Linked DNA regions of Saccharomyces cerevisiae S288C. Changing the gene in region 1 together with any one later gene gives a genetic interaction. Each region holds a gene or a part of one and is shown in the gene's direction. Other genes may lie near its edges. The genes, in order: BAS1, CIN4 and ADE3.

What was found.
Region 2: mutations in BAS1 (region 1) and CIN4 together harm fitness more than expected from each alone (negative genetic interaction), as found in Saccharomyces cerevisiae (2 studies listed by BioGRID).
Region 3: mutations in BAS1 (region 1) and ADE3 impair growth when combined (synthetic growth defect), as found in Saccharomyces cerevisiae (one study listed by BioGRID).

Annotation. Positions count from the first base shown.
Region 1 is NC_001143.9:633,976-637,734, forward strand, and holds the start of BAS1 (Bas1p), read left to right. Parts: upstream 1-1,875; coding exon 1,876-3,759. Other genes in the region: ubiquitin-specific protease UBP11, read right to left, coding at 1-1,204. UniProt on the Saccharomyces cerevisiae protein: Activates HIS4 transcription only in combination with PHO2/BAS2. BAS1 is also involved in the regulation of the purine biosynthesis pathway.
Region 2 is NC_001145.3:543,155-546,389, forward strand, and holds CIN4 (Arf family GTPase CIN4), read left to right. Parts: upstream 1-2,000; coding exon 2,001-2,576; downstream 2,577-3,235. Other genes in the region: DNA cross-link repair protein PSO2, read right to left, coding at 1-1,809; serine/threonine protein kinase RIM11, read left to right, coding at 2,971-3,235. UniProt on the Saccharomyces cerevisiae protein: Implicated in yeast microtubule function.
Region 3 is NC_001139.9:904,123-907,881, forward strand, and holds the start of ADE3 (trifunctional formate-tetrahydrofolate ligase/methenyltetrahydrofolate cyclohydrolase/methylenetetrahydrofolate dehydrogenase ADE3), read left to right. Parts: upstream 1-1,811; coding exon 1,812-3,759. Other genes in the region: PCT1 (choline-phosphate cytidylyltransferase), read right to left, coding at 1-626; phosphatase YCH1, read left to right, coding at 1,115-1,561. UniProt on the Saccharomyces cerevisiae protein: Cytoplasmic isozyme of C-1-tetrahydrofolate synthase.

The DNA of each region.
Region 1 (3,759 bases):
GTATTCGTGCTAAAACTATTAGTAGAAATTCCTGTGTATCCTGTTGATCATCTGGGATGTTCAAATCTGGCCTTAACTTCTTGCACATTTTTAAGAATCTATTTGGTATAATCGCTCTTCCTCCATTCAAATACATTTTTTTGAACAAAACGTAAATCGAGCGGGAAAGTTGGACTTCTTTCGGATATTTGTTAGTATTGAGGAATAGCCTATATTTCTTGGTTAAAAACAAATCCCGAAATAAGGTAGTGCCAAACAGACATTGAATTATACTGTTAATATAGCATGTATTGCATGGATTTTGCAGGCCAGTAATAGATAACTCTGATAACAGATCATTAGAATCTTCAATTACTGGTAGATTGTAAGCTTTCGGGGCCGAAGATTCTATGGCCTCGATCTTTCCTTCTTCCTCCTTTGGCTTTTCCACCTTGGATAAAGAGGATGAAGAATCTTGGCTAGAATCTCTGATTTGTGACGAAACCTCCAAGGAGTGCACGGGGGGAGCAGTTGCTGGACTAGACAGCGTTTTGAATAATGCATCCTTTCCAGTACTGAGTTTTAAATACGAGGGTTTTGATAATGCTTCTTTGCTTGTGTAGTACGCCACTTCAGAACCAGCTTCCAATTTATTACTTGATGCTATCTGATTACTTTCCCTGACTATGTCCTCTTTCGAATTATCATTTGTTGGTTTTGTTAGCTCATTCGGTATTTCATGTAGTGAGCCATCAAACTTGTTATGTATTGACAAAGAGGCCATATGAACAGGTAAAGGCCGTAGCGGTAAGGAGTAGGCTCTTTTTCTTTTTATGGTCCTGCAAATTCCGTTTGACTCCGCTAAATACCGGTCAACAATAACAGTACTTTCATCTCTTACCACTTTTAACACATAACCCATCACGTGTTCGTCTTGATAGTCGTTTTTTAGCTTTGCGTAACTGCTGTAGAGATTATTTCTTGTTTGGAATTGTAACGATTGTGGAATAATAAGGTACAGATAATAACAACCAATAATAAATGCTGTCAAAGCTTCCATTTCCTGATTGATTTCTAAATCCCTCAGGTAAACATTAAACAGATGAGCAGCATGGTCTAACAATCCTCTTAAGTTCTTTAGCCGTAATTGCGAATAAAACTGTTTAATATCTACTTCATATACTTTTCGAACTAGGTTTAGAATTTGATCTGGGTTTAATAACATTGTCTTTATGACTTCCGATTTAGCGAAAAGAAAACGGAAAGTAAGATCAATGCCACGGTTATTTAGTTTACTGAAGATCCTGAAAGACTACTAGCAGTAGCAGTAACCTTTCAGAGCTTATAATCAACCTAATGATTACTCAGCGCACAATCTAAAAGGGTTTCTCAACTAATTCTCGAAGAAATGTCAATCCCTTTTTTAAGCACTCCGGAAAAACTTTATAATAGATGTGGGGAAATCACCTTTGACGATGTGCAACGGAGAAACTATTTTTTTTTTTCTTTTTTTCTTTTTTTTTTTTTTTTTGGTCCGAACAATGCGATGAGCCAGACGAAGAAAAAAATAAAAAATGAGAATGAGTAATTATGTTAAGACCTTTAGAAGAAATAGGGTCCAGTCACAGAATAAAGCCCCAGGAAACTTTAAAGCAATCGAAATTAACCAGCTATATTTATATAATAAGAAATTTTTCTTATTAGTTTACTATAAAGGACTAGTGTACGTTTTTTGTGTTTAATTATTTGCTTTCTGATAATCCGGTTTGCTGATTTGAATCGTTCTCTGCAACAATTGTTGATCTCTAGTGGGGTAAACAAAATTAGTTTTGTTTAAAACTTTTGTTGTAGCGTTTTTGCTCTTTTTTTTTTATCGCAGAATACATTTTATCGAGAATGTCGAATATAAGTACCAAAGATATACGAAAAAGTAAGCCAAAAAGAGGATCCGGCTTCGATTTACTTGAAGTGACTGAATCACTTGGCTATCAGACACACAGGAAAAATGGAAGAAATTCATGGTCAAAGGACGACGATAATATGCTACGATCGCTAGTAAACGAATCCGCAAAGGAGTTAGGCTATGAGAATGGACTTGAAGACGTAAAAACAATTCAACAATCCAACCATCTTTCTAAATGTATTGCTTGGGATGTTTTAGCTACACGATTCAAACACACCGTAAGAACTTCAAAGGATGTAAGAAAGCGTTGGACAGGATCTCTGGACCCAAACTTGAAGAAAGGTAAATGGACACAAGAAGAGGATGAGCAGCTCTTGAAAGCTTATGAAGAACATGGGCCTCACTGGCTGAGTATCTCCATGGATATCCCTGGAAGAACAGAGGATCAATGTGCGAAAAGGTACATTGAAGTGTTGGGACCTGGAAGTAAAGGTAGATTAAGAGAATGGACGCTCGAGGAAGATTTAAATCTGATAAGTAAAGTGAAGGCATACGGCACGAAATGGAGAAAGATTTCGTCGGAAATGGAATTCAGACCAAGTTTAACGTGCAGGAACAGATGGCGGAAAATTATTACTATGGTTGTGCGAGGACAAGCATCAGAAGTAATAACAAAGGCTATAAAAGAAAACAAGAACATAGACATGACAGACGGAAAACTCCGACAACATCCAATCGCCGATTCTGATATACGCTCAGATTCTACACCGAATAAAGAAGAACAGTTGCAGCTATCTCAACAGAACAACCCTTCATTGATAAAGCAGGATATATTGAATGTTAAAGAGAACGAATCGAGCAAACTACCAAGATTAAAGGATAATGATGGACCCATTTTAAATGACAGCAAGCCACAAGCATTACCTCCCTTAAAAGAGATATCTGCACCTCCACCAATCAGGATGACGCAAGTCGGTCAGACTCATACCAGTGGTAGCATTAGGAGCAAAGTATCTTTACCAATTGAAGGTCTTTCTCAAATGAACAAGCAAAGTCCTGGAGGAATCTCAGATAGCCCACAGACAAGCCTTCCCCCAGCATTCAATCCAGCATCTCTCGATGAGCATATGATGAATAGTAATAGTATTTCAGATTCTCCGAAGCATGCTTATTCTACTGTGAAAACTAGAGAACCAAATTCCTCTAGCACACAATGGAAATTTACATTAAAAGATGGTCAAGGTTTGTCAATTTCTAACGGAACTATTGACAGCACAAAATTAGTAAAAGAATTGGTTGACCAAGCTAAGAAGTACTCTTTAAAAATTTCGATACATCAACATATTCACAATCATTATGTTACATCCACAGACCATCCTGTCAGCAGCAATACTGGATTGTCAAATATAGGAAATATAAATGGAAACCCTCTATTAATGGATAGTTTCCCACATATGGGTAGACAACTGGGAAATGGTCTTCCAGGGTTAAATTCAAATAGTGACACTTTTAACCCAGAATATAGGACTTCTCTGGACAACATGGATAGCGATTTTTTATCAAGAACACCCAACTATAACGCATTCAGCTTGGAAGCAACTTCACACAATCCCGCTGACAATGCAAATGAACTTGGTTCACAAAGCAATAGAGAAACAAACAGCCCGTCTGTATTTTATCCTCAAGCAAATACATTGATCCCAACTAATTCTACCGCTACAAATAATGAAATCATTCAAGGAAACGTTAGTGCTAATAGTATGTCACCGAATTTCAATGGAACAAATGGCAAGGCACCAAGTTCGACGGCATCATATACAACGAGCGGTTCAGAAATGCCACCTGATGTAGGTCCTAATAGAATAGCGCATTTCAAC
Region 2 (3,235 bases), on another chromosome or scaffold:
AACTTGAAATTTGTTGTACTTTTTGTATTGCCTCAATATACTCGAGATTTCAAACCCATTCTCATCATCATTATCTCGATCATTCTTCATTAGTTCTAAGCAATATTCTGTATTGCCACTCATTTCATTCTCATCATCATCGTTTTTCTTTTGATATTTTAAACCAAAATTGTGACTCCACCCGGTAGGTATAAACCCGACAACATCTTCAATGTCTTTCACATAGTCTGTTTCCAATTCTTTTAAACTTTTCAAGTAAGCTTCTATGGTTTCTTGACTTTTCAACACTCTTATAGGTACCAAATGTACGGATGATTCATGTAAATTGCTGGTGAGTAAGCTTTCGTCCCACATGTCATTTTGATTTTCGTTGTTTTGTAAAACTGTTAGCATCATTGAAAATTTAACGGAATTCGGCATAACAAATAATTTTGTTTTCAAAAATTCACATATCTTGATGGCTAGCTTCTCTTTTCCAATAGTATATGTTCCCACAAGAAATAGGACCCTGTAACGATGAGTTGTCAATGTTTTCTTTCTCTGAAAGTGAAAAAGGTTCCTTTGTGAATCTCCAAATGTTTTGTTTTTACCATGTTTTATAAGCCGTAATGTAAAATCAGCCACAGTCTCGCACACAGAATGTTGTGAAGGAAAGTTGTATCCCATAGTCATATATGTTGTATCTAAATAAACTTGGTCAATAGTTTCATTCGCTGTCTCGGCCAACCACTTCTGAATTGTCTCAATCATTTTGGCGTTGCTTCGAAAATCCCCCGTGTGAAGAATTTGTCTTATAGGCTTATCATACGAATTTGCCAGAAACTCCTGGAAAAGCATTATTATTGCACCGGGACAATGGTTAGCGTCCAACGTAACTACTGAAATGGTATCTGTTATCCAAAAGCGTTTATTCATGGGTAAAATTTGGATTTCATCCATTGGAATTTTGAATTTTAAATTTACTAATATTGCAGTGATCTTAGAACAGTAAAGTGTTTTCTTGATCGGATTCTCATCAGGATTGTTCCAAGATTTTTTGAGTCCAATATAGTGATCAGAATGAAAATGAGAAAGAAAGTACTGAGAGATAGTCTCGCTGGCCTTATAATTGAAACCATCCACAACTATTTCGTGGCCATTATTGAACTTAATTATCTTGAAACTTGGTAAAACAAGTTTTACTCTTGTTGGTTTTTTTGACGTAGCTATATCCCTCTTCGTTTTTGCAGGAGATGATGGATTAGAAATAAAGCTCCTGATATTCTTTTTAGGTGTTCCCATATTGCTCGGGTCACTGCCTATGCAAGTATCACAGTGTGTCTCTCTTTCGTACAATTCTAAATGAGAAAGGTTTTCTAGACAAATAGGACATTGAATAACTTCTGTAGAGACTTTAACATTTACTTGCTCCTCCAATTCCGTTACTATTCGATCTTCGGTCCTATTTTCTATTGCGCTGACTTCGTTATCATGCAAGCTAACTAGTTCTTCCTCGTCTGTGTCTATGGTGATTTCGACCTTTGCAGTGTCTTCAAGGCAAATGCTATTGTGATCGTCATCGTTAATAATTACTGGCTCTGTATTCTTATTGGATGTTGAACAACTGAACCTTGAGAATGAATATGAACTGGAACGGACAGGTAAGTTCGATGAAGTTGGGATGTTGAATTCTGTCAAAGTTCTCTGCCTTTTAGAGGATGTATGTGTGTTCTTATGAAGAGTTTTCCCCTCACTTGTACTGCTAGCGGTGCTACTTCGTTTCCGCTTTACTTCAGATCTTCTTATTTGCACTATAGATTTCCTTGACATAATCAACCGACCACCCAAATTAGTCACTAGTGCGTATGCTGCTTAACATGAGTTTTGACGCAGGTATTTGATTATGTTTATATTGCTATTTTACTAGTACTTTTTCAGTCCGTTTCCATGACAAAATCTAAAAAGCCATCGCACTAATTTATAAAGATAATAAGAGGGAAGCTTAAGGTGTAGAAGAATACATGGGACTACTAAGTATTATCAGGAAACAGAAGCTCAGGGACAAAGAAATTCGCTGTCTGATTCTAGGACTAGACAATTCGGGGAAGTCAACGATAGTAAACAAACTATTGCCCAAGGATGAGCAAAATAACGATGGTATAATGCCTACTGTGGGTTTTCAAATACATAGTCTGATGATAAAAGATGTGACAATATCTCTATGGGACATTGGGGGGCAACGCACATTAAGGCCATTTTGGGATAACTATTTTGATAAGACACAAGCGATGATATGGTGTATAGATGTGAGCCTTTCAATGCGGTTTGACGAAACCTTGCAAGAACTAAAAGAATTAATCAATAGAGACGAAAATCGAATAGGATACGAGTGTGCTGTTATCGTTGTGTTGAACAAGATTGATTTAGTGGAGGACAAGTCCGAGCTTCATCGAAGGTGTTTACTGGTAGAGAGCGAGTTGAAGTGTCTGTTCAAGCCGGACATCCGAATAGAGCTCGTCAAATGTAGTGGCGTTACCGGAGAAGGTATTGATAACCTGCGTGACCGTCTGGTGGAATCCTGCCATTTTACCCAATAATCGTCTAAGATGTGAGCACCATATAAAAACTTTAAATAATGTCAGTATTTATAGCGTGATAGTTCATTACCCGCCGACTGTGCGCATTCGTGGCTTCTGCTCACTCCGGATAATAATACTACCAAGGGGTTCTGTAAGGCTTGCGGGTTACAAAGCACGGGTCCATTGAAGATCTTACACAAGAAGGAGTGGTAGGAAGACCAGCAGATTATTTCCAATCGGTCGTTGCCATTGTCTTATTTCCTTTTCTTTCTGGCGCATTGCATTTTAACACCTTTTTTTCCAGAATAGCCAACCACCGACGTCTGATTCACACATTACTGGGCAAGATCTTGACATAGCATTACATTACAACACGGCAACACTAATCACGCAACGCTAGAACTCGCGCAGGATGAATATTCAAAGCAATAATTCTCCGAATCTCAGTAATAACATAGTGTCAAAACAGGTTTACTACGCCCATCCTCCACCTACGATAGACCCGAATGATCCGGTGCAGATATCTTTCCCTACCACCGAAGTAGTTGGGCATGGTTCGTTTGGTGTGGTATTTGCCACTGTTATTCAAGAAACTAATGAAAAAGTTGCTATTAAGAAAGTCCTGCAAGATAAACGATTCAAGAACAGAGAGCTGGAAATAATGAAAATGCTGAGTC
Region 3 (3,759 bases), on another chromosome or scaffold:
TAGATATCGTCGCTGTCGGCGCTAACGTAAGGAATATCGTCATGTGCCACGTAGTCAATCTTGTGTTCTAGTAGAAATTCTGGGGTGACACACCAGGGAGCGTTGGGCACGACTTCGTCAACCCATCTGCAGTGCGTTAAAGTTTCACAACGCTGCTTATCGGTCAGCACAGTCAAACCTTTTAGTTTGTGAGTGATTTTGTCGCTAGGCACACCAACTATCAGTGTTACATTGGGGAAAGCCTTCTTACACTGTTCCAGTTGCTTCATGTGGCCAAGATGGAAAAGATCAAAAACACCATCTGCATATATCCTGATGGGTCTATCCGTTGGAGGCAAATTGAATCTGAAACCTTTAGGACGATACTTGCGCAGTTCCTTGGGCAACTCGTTGGTGTAACGAGCCTCCTTCTCTTCAAACTCCTTCGTCAACCGGCGACGCTTGCGGGGAGTGAGCTGTGTGTCCTTATTTTCATCCTGGTTCTTACTCTCATCCTTATCCTCATTGTCCTGCTCTTCCGTTTCCTCACGCTGTCTTTTATTTTTATTTTTTTTAAATAGGTTTGATAGCGATGAGTTAGAAAGCTTAGCCCTAATCGAGGACTTCCCTGTTGTTGGGTTTGCCATTTTTCTTTGTGTCTGCTGTGCTTTGTACTACCAAGAGAGAATAGCAAGAGTGAAATTTGAAAGTTAAACAATACAATAAAGAAAAGTGACTGGCGTATGCAAGAAAGGGGAATGGGTATAAAAAATACAAGAACGGCAGAAAAAATAAAAGAAACAGGAGAAACAAACAATGGTAACTGTACTAAAACCAATACCAGATATATATTTCATACTTATTAAAAAGCGTTAAGAAACGAAGCGTAAAAACGTAAGAAAAAGAATGACTATATAACGGTAGGTCTTCGACTCATTTTTTTCTTCCTACATGCAAACGACAAATACGGGTAATGCACATTTCGCTTATTGGGTTCTTCCCTTTCCTTTTTTCCATTTTTTTCTTTCTGGCTGTCGCTAGCCTTTCTACTTCCTCCGCACATACAGTTTTCAGCACAGTATAGATAGCTGTGCAGCCAGATAGAAGCAAAAGAGAAGTCAATTGCAAAAAAAATATGGACTCGTACTCAATAACAAACGTAAAATACCTGGATCCGACTGAATTGCATCGTTGGATGCAAGAAGGACACACTACTACGCTGAGGGAGCCTTTCCAGGTAGTGGATGTGCGAGGCTCAGATTATATGGGGGGCCATATCAAGGACGGATGGCACTACGCCTATTCGCGCCTTAAGCAGGATCCGGAGTACTTACGTGAGCTAAAGCACAGATTGTTGGAAAAGCAAGCGGACGGCCGCGGAGCGCTGAACGTGATTTTCCATTGTATGTTATCGCAGCAGCGCGGACCGTCTGCAGCGATGCTGCTGCTTCGGTCGCTTGACACGGCGGAACTTTCTCGCTGTCGTCTATGGGTGTTGCGTGGGGGGTTCTCGCGCTGGCAATCCGTATACGGTGACGACGAGAGCGTTACGGCGGGTTACCTACCCGATCTGTGGCGTTGACAGGTTTACACAATCGCACGTGATCATATATTTGCCATGACTCCTCCCAGTGACAATTTTGTTCTTTTTTCCTCTTTATCGCTTTCGTACTATGGTCAGTCATTCATTCATTATATACGCGCTCTCCATAACCCGTAACTTTTTATTATATATAGACTCGTTTACAATACAACGATAGCGATACCATTCAATTGAAGTTGTGAGACCAGGTAACGAGACGAACACAACTTTACAAGTCAAATAAGAAATCATGGCTGGTCAAGTGTTGGACGGCAAAGCATGCGCTCAGCAGTTTAGAAGCAATATTGCTAATGAAATCAAAAGCATTCAAGGTCACGTGCCTGGGTTTGCACCTAACCTTGCCATCATTCAAGTAGGCAACAGACCAGACTCAGCCACATATGTACGCATGAAGCGTAAGGCAGCTGAAGAGGCCGGCATTGTTGCTAATTTCATTCATTTAGATGAATCCGCTACTGAATTTGAAGTTCTGCGTTACGTGGACCAGCTGAATGAGGACCCACATACACACGGTATTATCGTGCAACTACCATTACCCGCTCATTTGGACGAGGATAGAATCACCTCGAGAGTGTTGGCAGAAAAGGACGTGGACGGGTTCGGGCCCACCAACATTGGCGAATTGAATAAGAAGAACGGACACCCATTCTTTTTGCCCTGCACGCCCAAGGGGATCATTGAGCTGCTTCACAAGGCCAACGTCACGATTGAAGGTTCCCGGTCCGTTGTGATCGGAAGATCTGACATTGTTGGCTCTCCTGTTGCAGAATTGTTAAAATCTCTAAACTCCACCGTCACCATCACTCATTCTAAAACCCGTGATATCGCATCATACTTACACGACGCGGACATCGTAGTCGTTGCCATCGGCCAACCAGAATTTGTGAAGGGTGAATGGTTCAAACCAAGAGACGGCACTTCCAGTGATAAGAAAACCGTGGTAATTGATGTTGGCACCAACTACGTTGCTGATCCTTCCAAAAAGTCCGGTTTCAAATGTGTTGGTGACGTTGAGTTCAATGAAGCAATCAAATACGTCCATCTAATCACTCCAGTGCCCGGTGGTGTGGGCCCCATGACGGTGGCTATGTTAATGCAAAATACCTTGATTGCTGCCAAACGCCAAATGGAAGAATCCTCGAAGCCTTTGCAGATTCCTCCCTTGCCATTGAAGTTGCTAACACCTGTTCCTTCCGATATAGACATCTCCAGAGCACAACAGCCAAAGCTTATCAACCAGCTTGCTCAAGAATTGGGTATTTACTCTCATGAGTTGGAGCTGTACGGACATTACAAGGCCAAAATTTCTCCTAAAGTCATCGAAAGGCTGCAGACGCGCCAAAATGGTAAGTACATCTTGGTGTCTGGTATCACACCAACACCACTGGGAGAGGGTAAATCCACTACAACAATGGGTCTTGTCCAGGCACTAACGGCTCACTTGGGCAAGCCAGCCATTGCGAACGTCAGACAACCCTCCCTAGGACCCACTTTAGGTGTCAAAGGTGGTGCTGCGGGTGGTGGTTATTCCCAAGTCATCCCAATGGACGAATTCAACTTACATTTGACTGGTGACATTCACGCCATTGGTGCGGCTAACAACCTACTTGCTGCCGCTATTGACACTAGAATGTTCCATGAGACCACTCAAAAGAACGACGCTACCTTCTACAACAGACTAGTGCCTAGAAAGAACGGAAAGAGAAAGTTTACTCCCTCCATGCAAAGAAGATTGAACAGACTGGGTATTCAAAAGACCAACCCCGATGATCTAACACCCGAAGAGATCAACAAATTCGCCAGATTGAACATTGACCCGGACACTATTACTATCAAGAGGGTGGTCGATATCAACGACAGAATGTTAAGACAAATCACCATTGGTCAAGCCCCTACCGAGAAGAACCACACAAGAGTTACTGGATTCGATATCACCGTTGCTTCTGAATTGATGGCTATTCTTGCTCTTTCAAAGGACTTGAGGGACATGAAGGAACGTATTGGAAGAGTCGTTGTTGCTGCTGACGTAAACAGGTCTCCAGTCACTGTTGAAGATGTGGGTTGTACCGGTGCCTTAACCGCTTTATTAAGAGACGCTATCAAGCCCAACTTGATGCAAACTTTAGAAGGTACTCCTGTCTTGGTCCATGCCGGCCCATTTGCCAACATCTCTATCG